Linked DNA regions of Xenopus tropicalis. The protein of the gene in region 2 purifies or fractionates together with the protein of the main gene of each other region. This does not show direct contact. Links are inferred from orthologs where the notes say so. Each region holds a gene or a part of one and is shown on either strand. Other genes may lie near its edges. The genes, in order: cdc42 and iqgap3.

Region 1 (4,438 bases), on a different chromosome or scaffold from region 2:
AGCAACAATCAAACATAATTCAAGGAAGGATGGTCTTGGACCAGAAGTTGCAGAGTAGCCCATTTAACAGAATATTCAGAACAGCGAATCTCATAAAATCACTGGCTCTATTATTTTTACCACTTAAGGGGTTTGATTTTTTTTTACAGCAAGCTTCAATGAGTTTTACTTAGGAAATGCAGATACAGATTTCCCAGTTAAGTATGACTGATATATGCCCACCTTCTTATTTGTCATTATGAAAACAGCAGACATTTTGCATTCAATGGCACCAACTCAGCTTAAAATCTCCCTGAGTAAGTTCCACTGCCCTAGGAGAATTTGACAGAATGTCGTTTTGGCCCTGCTTTACCAGGATCCATTAGCAAAAAAAGAAGAATGTGATTAAAGTTTTTGATGGTAATGCAATATCAAACACCGTCTCAGGAAGTGACACACTTATTTTCTTCTAAATCACAGGTCCGCCCAATGAATAGCTTTGTTGAGACAAGCATACAAAATCCATCTATTATACTGGCAACCGAGAGTGCAGAGCAGTACAGAAGAACTTACACCTAAAGTTCTCTCAGGATGACGACTATGAGGTCAGAGTAAGCAAGGAAACTTCACCCATCAATTTGCTTTCCCCTCAGCTGAACCTACTTATACTCTTCCTTATCTCTTGCTAAATCAGCCACAGGGATTCCAAGCAGCAGTGAAGTAAATGTTAATGAGCCATTGAAATAAAGGCTCATTGATCCTGCTTTGTCTTGTGTGACAGTGGTTCTGATAGTGACAGGTATATCTGTATATCTAGTGTCCCTTCCATAAAGCAAGAATGGGTTTGTTATTTGCCACAAAGGAAACAGAAATAGTAACATGAATACCAGGAAACATTCCTTAGTGCAAGCATTAAAATTGGCAATATATCTTCCAGCTGTTAAGTTAAATGCTTCAACCCTCCCCGTTACCCAAAAACAAAACCCTACAGTAAGACTGCTGTCATGCCAAAAGCTAGTGAGATATACCCAATGCAGCTCCCCCAGGTGTGGCCCGATTAAGTTGCTTCAGATTCACAGTTGCAGTGGCAGGGCCAAAGAAATGGATCTTAGCAGCAGCAGGCACTGCCATCTTCACAATTTATTTATCTGCATGGAGATGTTCTATCACAAATGAAATCTCTGCCAAGTATGTGCTGCCTCTACTTTTGACTTAGGGGTTAATGGCAGATTGGGCACTTTCATAGCTGCAGGTCTTTAGATAATTTAGTTGGCTACTAACAGCCACTTTCTCCTTCTGACAAAGGGTATCACAATTCCTCAGTGAGGTCACCATAAGGGTAACATCACACCTTGTGCCTCATGTTCCAGCAGCAATGAAAGGCACCACACTGCAAGTCAGTACCCACATGGGGTTTATTTTGGCCTGAATGTGCAGTTGCATGTTTTCCAGCCAAAATTCAACCCATATTCCAACAGAGCGGATAGGCACAGCATTCACATAGAAAATATTGCAAAACCAGAAAGCATGAAAAAAAGAACTTTCTGGGGTTGCCAAACCGCATCTACCTGGGACCCAATGAGTGCCCACTATGAAGCTGTTTGGCGCACTATAAAAAGAGGAGGAGAACAAGATGATCACAAATCACTGTTTGGGGACCAATTCCCTAAGTGCTCACAGGGGAGCAAAACAGCAACTGTATTGCAGCCTGCCTGTAACAAACTCCATAACTTTTATAATCTCTATCAGTACTCTCTATGCCCACGCCTAACACCAATTTTGGATAAGGATGCTAATCAGGTATACAAATAGTTTTTTTTTATATGTTTTCTAACCCCCCCCACCCCCAAAAGGCTGTTAGAAAATGCCCAGTGTCTGCTCTCTACCTTCCTTTCAGTACCCTTGGAGACCTGGAAGCTACAGGCATGGGCAAAAATGCTGTAGGGGCCACTACAGAGCAAACATCAAAGGCCTTCCAGAATCCCAATAGAACTTGCAAAGTATATTGATTAGAGGAAGAATGAGCAGAACCCGTACAGCCAATGGGGATGGACATCACAAGTGGCCGGCCCTCCAGCAGTTATGATCGCGACGTTCCGGCATCCTCCACCAAACTACGGGTTATTTTAGCCGAGGAGCCAAAATCTACAAATTCTTTCCTGGTTTCTAAAAGGCCTTGATGCTGGCTGACAGCTTAGTGTACAGAACCAGCCTCTCCCTCCTACCCTCCCCCAGCAGCAGCCTCCTCCCTGCAGTATTTCCTCCCTGCTCCCCCCAAAAACCACCACCATCCGCCGATCTATCGGTAACACAGCTGATCTTAAAGCGCCCCCTCCCAAATTTGCTGTTTTAGGGTCCCGAGGGGCAAGTAACGAAGCGATCTTAACCTAAAGCCCCACTACAACTCCCAGCATCCCTGGCAGACTCACCGAATGCTTGAGCGTTCGGGCGGATAGACCCAAGTAAAAGAAAGCACAGCTAATGAGAATAAGCCTCACCTACCATGTCCAGTCCCCAAATTCCAGCGCACACAGCCAATACAGTCCCGGTTTACCCAAACATGTCAAACTCACGCAATTAACCCCACTGAGTTACCCTGCACAAGCAGCCCGCAACTGTACCCAGGGGCGCGACCCCCCATATACCAGATAGCCCGACAGGATGCGGTACCGGGCCGCTCCCCGTTCCTTGTTACAGAGGCCACACAGCAATTCCCTGCCCCTGCGCTCCCCTATATACCTCGCGTTGCGAACAGTTCCACTCCAGCCATACACTGCCCCCGAGTGAGGATAATGTTCCCCCCAAACAGCCAGCGCTCGGAAAGATTCCCCCCACTTACCCGCTCAGCCTCTCCCCTTCTCTCCACCGGGCGTTGGCAGCTACTCGCAGGGTTTCCTAGGCTTACAGGCAGGGGTCAGTATACGTAATGATGTCACGACGCTCTGGAGTGGTGACGTCATTGCACAATGCGGCGAAGAATTGCTGCAGGTTGACAAGGGAAGAATAAGCAGAACTGGTTTGTGGCCATCTTTATTGAGGGCTTTGGTCCTGCTGCTGTACCGAATACAAAGGTGATTTTACACAGCACCACAGAATTTTTTTGCGCACTGCTTCAAGAACATAGACTGGGGGAGCGGGTACTAATTCAAATCGTTCAAGGTTTTTTATTTGTCGTTCGCATTTTCAATCTAAAAATAAAAACCTGGGCGTGATTTGCCCGTATTGTGAAATGTCTGCCGCAAACTCATGATATCCGGTCAGGTGACTTCCGTATGAGCAAAGTAAAACACATTTGAAGTGACGATATTTAGGTGGGCTCAGATTTGGGGAAGTTTGGGTTAAATGGTGACAGTGACAGTCTTACAATACAGAAAGAAGTGGTGGTAGAGGGCTCCTTGCAGAGTGTTGGCCTGAAGCGAAAGACAGCGAGACTCAAGGTACAAAGGATTTACAGGACGTAAAAAACCGAGTCAGTGAGAATTGAGCTTGTCAGCAGTAGCTTGTGGGAGTTGTAGTTCTAGGACAGGTACTGAGCGCATATTCAGCTTTTATGTGGCGTACATGACTAGAAAACAAAAATATCAACCTCACCTAATAGGTACAATCATAGCTTTTATCTTTAGCCAGAAATTCAAGTTTGTATTAGCTCCAAGGTGGTTTTTATTGACGCATTGCAATGTAATATATAATTTTTTGAAATCAGTTCCTGTCTGGCCTTTGCTTTTCTTATCTGCTCATGCCATTGTCACATTGTATCAGTAGTCAGCTCTCCTCCAACCAAGACTTCACTTCCCAAATGCCTTGCAAGTTCTGTGATAAAGGGCTCTGGCACACGGTGAGATTAGTCGCCCGCGACAAATCTCCCTTGTCACGCAGGCGATTTCGGCAAATCGCGAAGTTGCCTCTCGAGGCATTTTCTAATCTCCCCGTGTGCCAGAGCCCTAAGGGTGAAGACACAGGAGCTACTAGTAGCAGCTACTTGTTGTGGCTACACAAGTAGAAAATGCTGATAATTTATTAATAACTGTCTCTATGTGTGTTTTAGCAGAGGCAATTGTCAGTATTGTCTATGGCAGGGTATTTTCTGGCGTTTATTAGCAATGTGTCTTCACCCTAAGGGCTCTGGCACACGGGGAGGTTAGTGAAATCTTTTTCGCCGGTGGGATGGCAATTTGGGGAGATTAGTCGCCCGCGAACAGGGAGATTTGTCGCGGGCGACTAATCTCCCCAAATTGCCATCCCACTGGCGAAAATGTAAGTCGCCGGTGGGATGGTACACGCAGTGGCACGATTTCGGCAAATCGGCGAAAATGCCTCGCGAGGCAACTTCGGCGATTTGCCGAAATCGCCTGCGCAGCGTGTGCCATCCCACCGGCGTCTTATATTTTCGCCGGTGGGATGGCAATTCGGGGAGATTAGTCTCCCGCAAACAGGGAGATTTGTCGCGGGCGACTAATCT
Region 2 (3,820 bases):
CAGTGCCCAAGAGCATGATATCCATAAGGTAATATGATCAACCCCTGTAGCTTCCTATTTCCCTACTGACTGGGTCATCACTACTAGAACTGCTGCTTTCTGCCCTAGATTGTAGGCAACTTGCTGTATTACCGTTTTATGAACCCGGCTGTGGTAGCCCCAGATGCCTTCGATATCATTGATCTCTCCGCTGGGGGGACACTTCACCCGGATCAGCGCCGTACGCTCGGCTCCATTGCTAAAGTTCTCCAACACGCCGCTGCCAACAAAATGTTTGAGGATTCTCATCTCGGCCTCCTCAACCAGTATCTAGAGGAGACGTACTGGAAGTTCAGGTCTGTGTTTCCATTTCATTCCCTGATATGTCAGGTTCTGCTTTACTAACCAGTCAAGAAAAGGAGCTTAAAGGGGGAGATCACCTTTAAACTAACAAGCAGCTTTCCAGTTTAGAATTTCAGCAACTATTTGGTTGCTAGGATCTTGTTTACCTTAGCAACCAAGCAGTGTTTTAAATGAGAGACTGCAATATGATTAGGAGAGGGCCTGAATAAAAAGTAACAATAACAATAAACCTGTAGCTCACAGAGAAATAGATTTTGGCTGCCAGGGTCAGTGACCCCCCCCCCCAATTTGAAAGCTGGTGAGATGTAGAAGACGAAAGAAAATAATTCAAAAAGTTATAAAAATAAATTAATGAAGACTAATTACAAAGTTGCTAGAAGTAGGACATTCTATAATATATTAAAGTTAACTTTAAACCACCCCTTTAACTGGATATATCTGCAGGCTAATAGGTGCAAAGTTTGCTCCACATGTGGCAACCAATCATATGTTAGTATTTATAATTCACCTGTTTAACACTTAGTATCTGTTATAGCATTATACCTCTATATATACCCAGCCAGCATGCATTGGTCTTATTGTACAGGTAATAAAGGCTTTATTTTATTGGTTACAGGAAGTTTATCCGCACTGCATGTACCGTGCCAGAGCCAGAAGAAAGGTTTAACATAGACGAGTACTCCGAGATGGTGAACATGACCAAGCCAGTCATTTACATCACTGTCGGGGAGCTGATCGATACACACAAGGTGAGGAAGCCTTTAGTTCCCCAGGTATATACACAAGGGAGGCTGCTGTTCTCTCATAATGTAATTGAGGGTAGATTGTAAGCTCTTTTGGGCAGGGCCCTCTTCACCTCTTGTATCGGTTACTGATTGCTTTATATGTTACTCTGTATGTCCAATGTATGTAACCCACTTATTGTACAGCGCTGCGGGATATGTTGGCGCTTTATAAATAAATGTTAATGTAGTGTAATGTAAAACCTTCTTGTTGTTTTTAGCTGTTGGTAGAACACCAGGATTCAATCGCTCCTGACCACAAGGATCCAATCCATGAGCTTCTGGAGGATATTGGGGAGGTGCCTACAGTCCAATCTCTAATTGGTATGAGACCATTTCCACATTATTGGTTACAACAAGGGCTACTAAACCCTACAGATGTCTTGTTGGGTTGTGCTTAGTACAGTGGGATACCTATACAGGTACGGGATCAGTTATCCGGAAACCCGTTATCCAAGTTCTGAAATACAGAAAGGCCATCTCCAATAGACTACATTATAAGCAAATAATGTAATTAAATACATTTTTTTAAAATGATTTCCTTTTTCTTTGTAATAATAAAACAGTACCTGTACTTGATCCCAACTAAGATATAATTACCCCTTATTGGGGCAGAACAGCCCTATTGGGTTTATTTCATGGTTAAATGATTCCCTTTTCTCTGTAATAATAAAACAGTACCTGTACTTGATCCCAGCTAAGATATAATTACCCCTTATTGGGGCAGAACAGCCCTATTGGGTTTATTTCATGGTTAAATGATTCCCTTTTCTCTGTAATAATAAAACAGTACCTGTACTTGATCCCAACTAAGATATAATTACCCCTTATTGGGGGCAGAACAGCCCTATTGGGTTTATTTAATGGTTAAATGATTCCCTTTTCTCTGTAATAATAAAACAGTACCTGTACTTGATCTCAACTAAGATATAGTTTAATGCTTTTTGGAGGTAAAACAATCCTATTAGGTTTATTTTATCTTTAAATTACGGAAAGATCTCTTATACGTAAAACCCCAGGTCCCGAGCATTCTGTATAAAAGGTCCCATACCTGTACTGGCATAGATATAGGAAATCTCTCTGTGCAGGCTGTAAGCAAATCTCAGCTGGTCATATAGTATCTATAGCTATATTACTTGTATGAGGGGCAGTTTTTCGTCTCACATATACACAGTGATGTTAGATTATGGCTACAGAGACAGTTTCTAATTGAGCTTACACAGGGGGATTACACATTTGAAAGGCTATGATACCTAATAACTAAAGTCCCTATCACATTCACGCTCACTACGGTAGGTTTTAGCAGGAGCAATTTAAACTGCCTCTGTGTGTGGGAGGAAAGCAGAGGTACCCAAAGGAAACCCACACAAGCATGGGGAGAGTATACAGACTTCCTGCATAGTGGAAGCAAAGACAGGATCCCAGTGCTGCCATTCAGTCTTAGCCAGCATTTACCTTGCATTACAGTAACCTGTGGGTGATTTGCTTCCAGGTGAAAGTACCTCAAACCTCAGCGATGTCGGCTCAGAACAAGCTCTGGCTCCGCTAAGGAAGCTGGAGATGTCTCTCACTCTCACCAACAAGTTTGACATGATGGAAAGCAATGCTGAAGCAATGGACACTCAAGGACTGTTACTGAGGTGAGAAGTGCATGCCTTGGGCATCTGTCCCTTTGTGCACCAATAGATTATTTCATATATCCAGAACTATAGAAATAGGATAGAGGATGCTGGGAGTTGAACCCTGGTAAGCGTCGTTGTTCTGCATTGCCTAAATACTCATTCGCTCTGTTTTCATCCGCTGCAGCACAAAGCACTTGCTGGTAGATGTTATCCAGACACAGCCTGGGGATACCCTAGCAGAACTTCTGTACACTTCCGCTTCTGCCCAGCAGGTGGGTAAATAGCTGCTTCTGACTAATCAAATGGGATCCAATCAGATCACAGAAGAAATGATAGTAGTGAGCAGGGTTTCCCTTTTCCTTTTTCCTAGTCATTGTTAGAAATGAACCTTCTATATTGGCCACTAAATGATGCAGTGTCATTGGAGGTAATGGTACAAAATGTCTGATGCCTACAACATTTTTTTTGTAATGACATATATAAACCCAACCCAGCCAATTAGCAGAGCTATATATTATAAACATAAATTATTCTCTAAATGAGATGTGGGTTCAGTGGGGATGCCCATGTGACGTCTTGTAACATGTTCCAGTGGGTGCATCTTAGGTGCATCAAATCCTGCTCAGTACAGCCCCAAACCTATCGCAGGGCCTGCCTCTTATCTGGAACATACCAGGTAATTTCTAAGGGATGCCCCCCCATAAAGCTTTGCTCCAGTGCAGTTTACTTGTGTGTGTAAGAACATTACAAACAATGAATAGTGAATCTGGGTTTTGATTAGGAAGCGTCACATCTCTACTTGATGAATCAACGAGCCAGACGAGAAGCCAAGACCCCAGAAAAAATGAAGCGCCATCGGTCGCTGCTGGGCAACAGCCAACTTACCATAGAGGAGAAGAAACGCAGGATTATCCGGAACCTGAGGAGGCTGGAAAGCCTGGGGCTGGTGTCCTCTGATAATGAGTATCAGGAGATTATCAACATGATCGCTAAGGTATACATATCCTGCTAGGGTATATTTGGTTGCTTAATCCCTCCAGCAGAAATACCCCAATCATTTTTTTTAATCTGCTG

What was found.
Region 1: the proteins of iqgap3 (region 2) and cdc42 purify together in Homo sapiens (affinity purification with mass spectrometry; 4 studies listed by BioGRID and IntAct, with this or other methods). This does not show direct contact. The link is inferred for Xenopus tropicalis from reciprocal best matches to the Homo sapiens genes IQGAP3 and CDC42.

The regions. Positions count from the first base shown.
Region 1 is NC_030683.2:94,443,425-94,447,862, forward strand, and holds the start of cdc42 (cell division control protein 42 homolog), read right to left. Parts: upstream 2,963-4,438; 5' UTR 2,819-2,962; intron 2,810-2,818; exon of another isoform or gene 2,719-2,809; intron 1-2,718. UniProt on the Homo sapiens protein: Plasma membrane-associated small GTPase which cycles between an active GTP-bound and an inactive GDP-bound state. In active state binds to a variety of effector proteins to regulate cellular responses. Involved in epithelial cell polarization processes.
Region 2 is NC_030684.2:133,159,808-133,163,627, reverse strand, and holds part of iqgap3 (ras GTPase-activating-like protein IQGAP3), read left to right. Parts: coding exon 1-28; intron 29-108; coding exon 109-335; intron 336-958; coding exon 959-1,091; intron 1,092-1,345; coding exon 1,346-1,448; intron 1,449-2,616; coding exon 2,617-2,764; intron 2,765-2,930; coding exon 2,931-3,018; intron 3,019-3,527; coding exon 3,528-3,740; intron 3,741-3,820.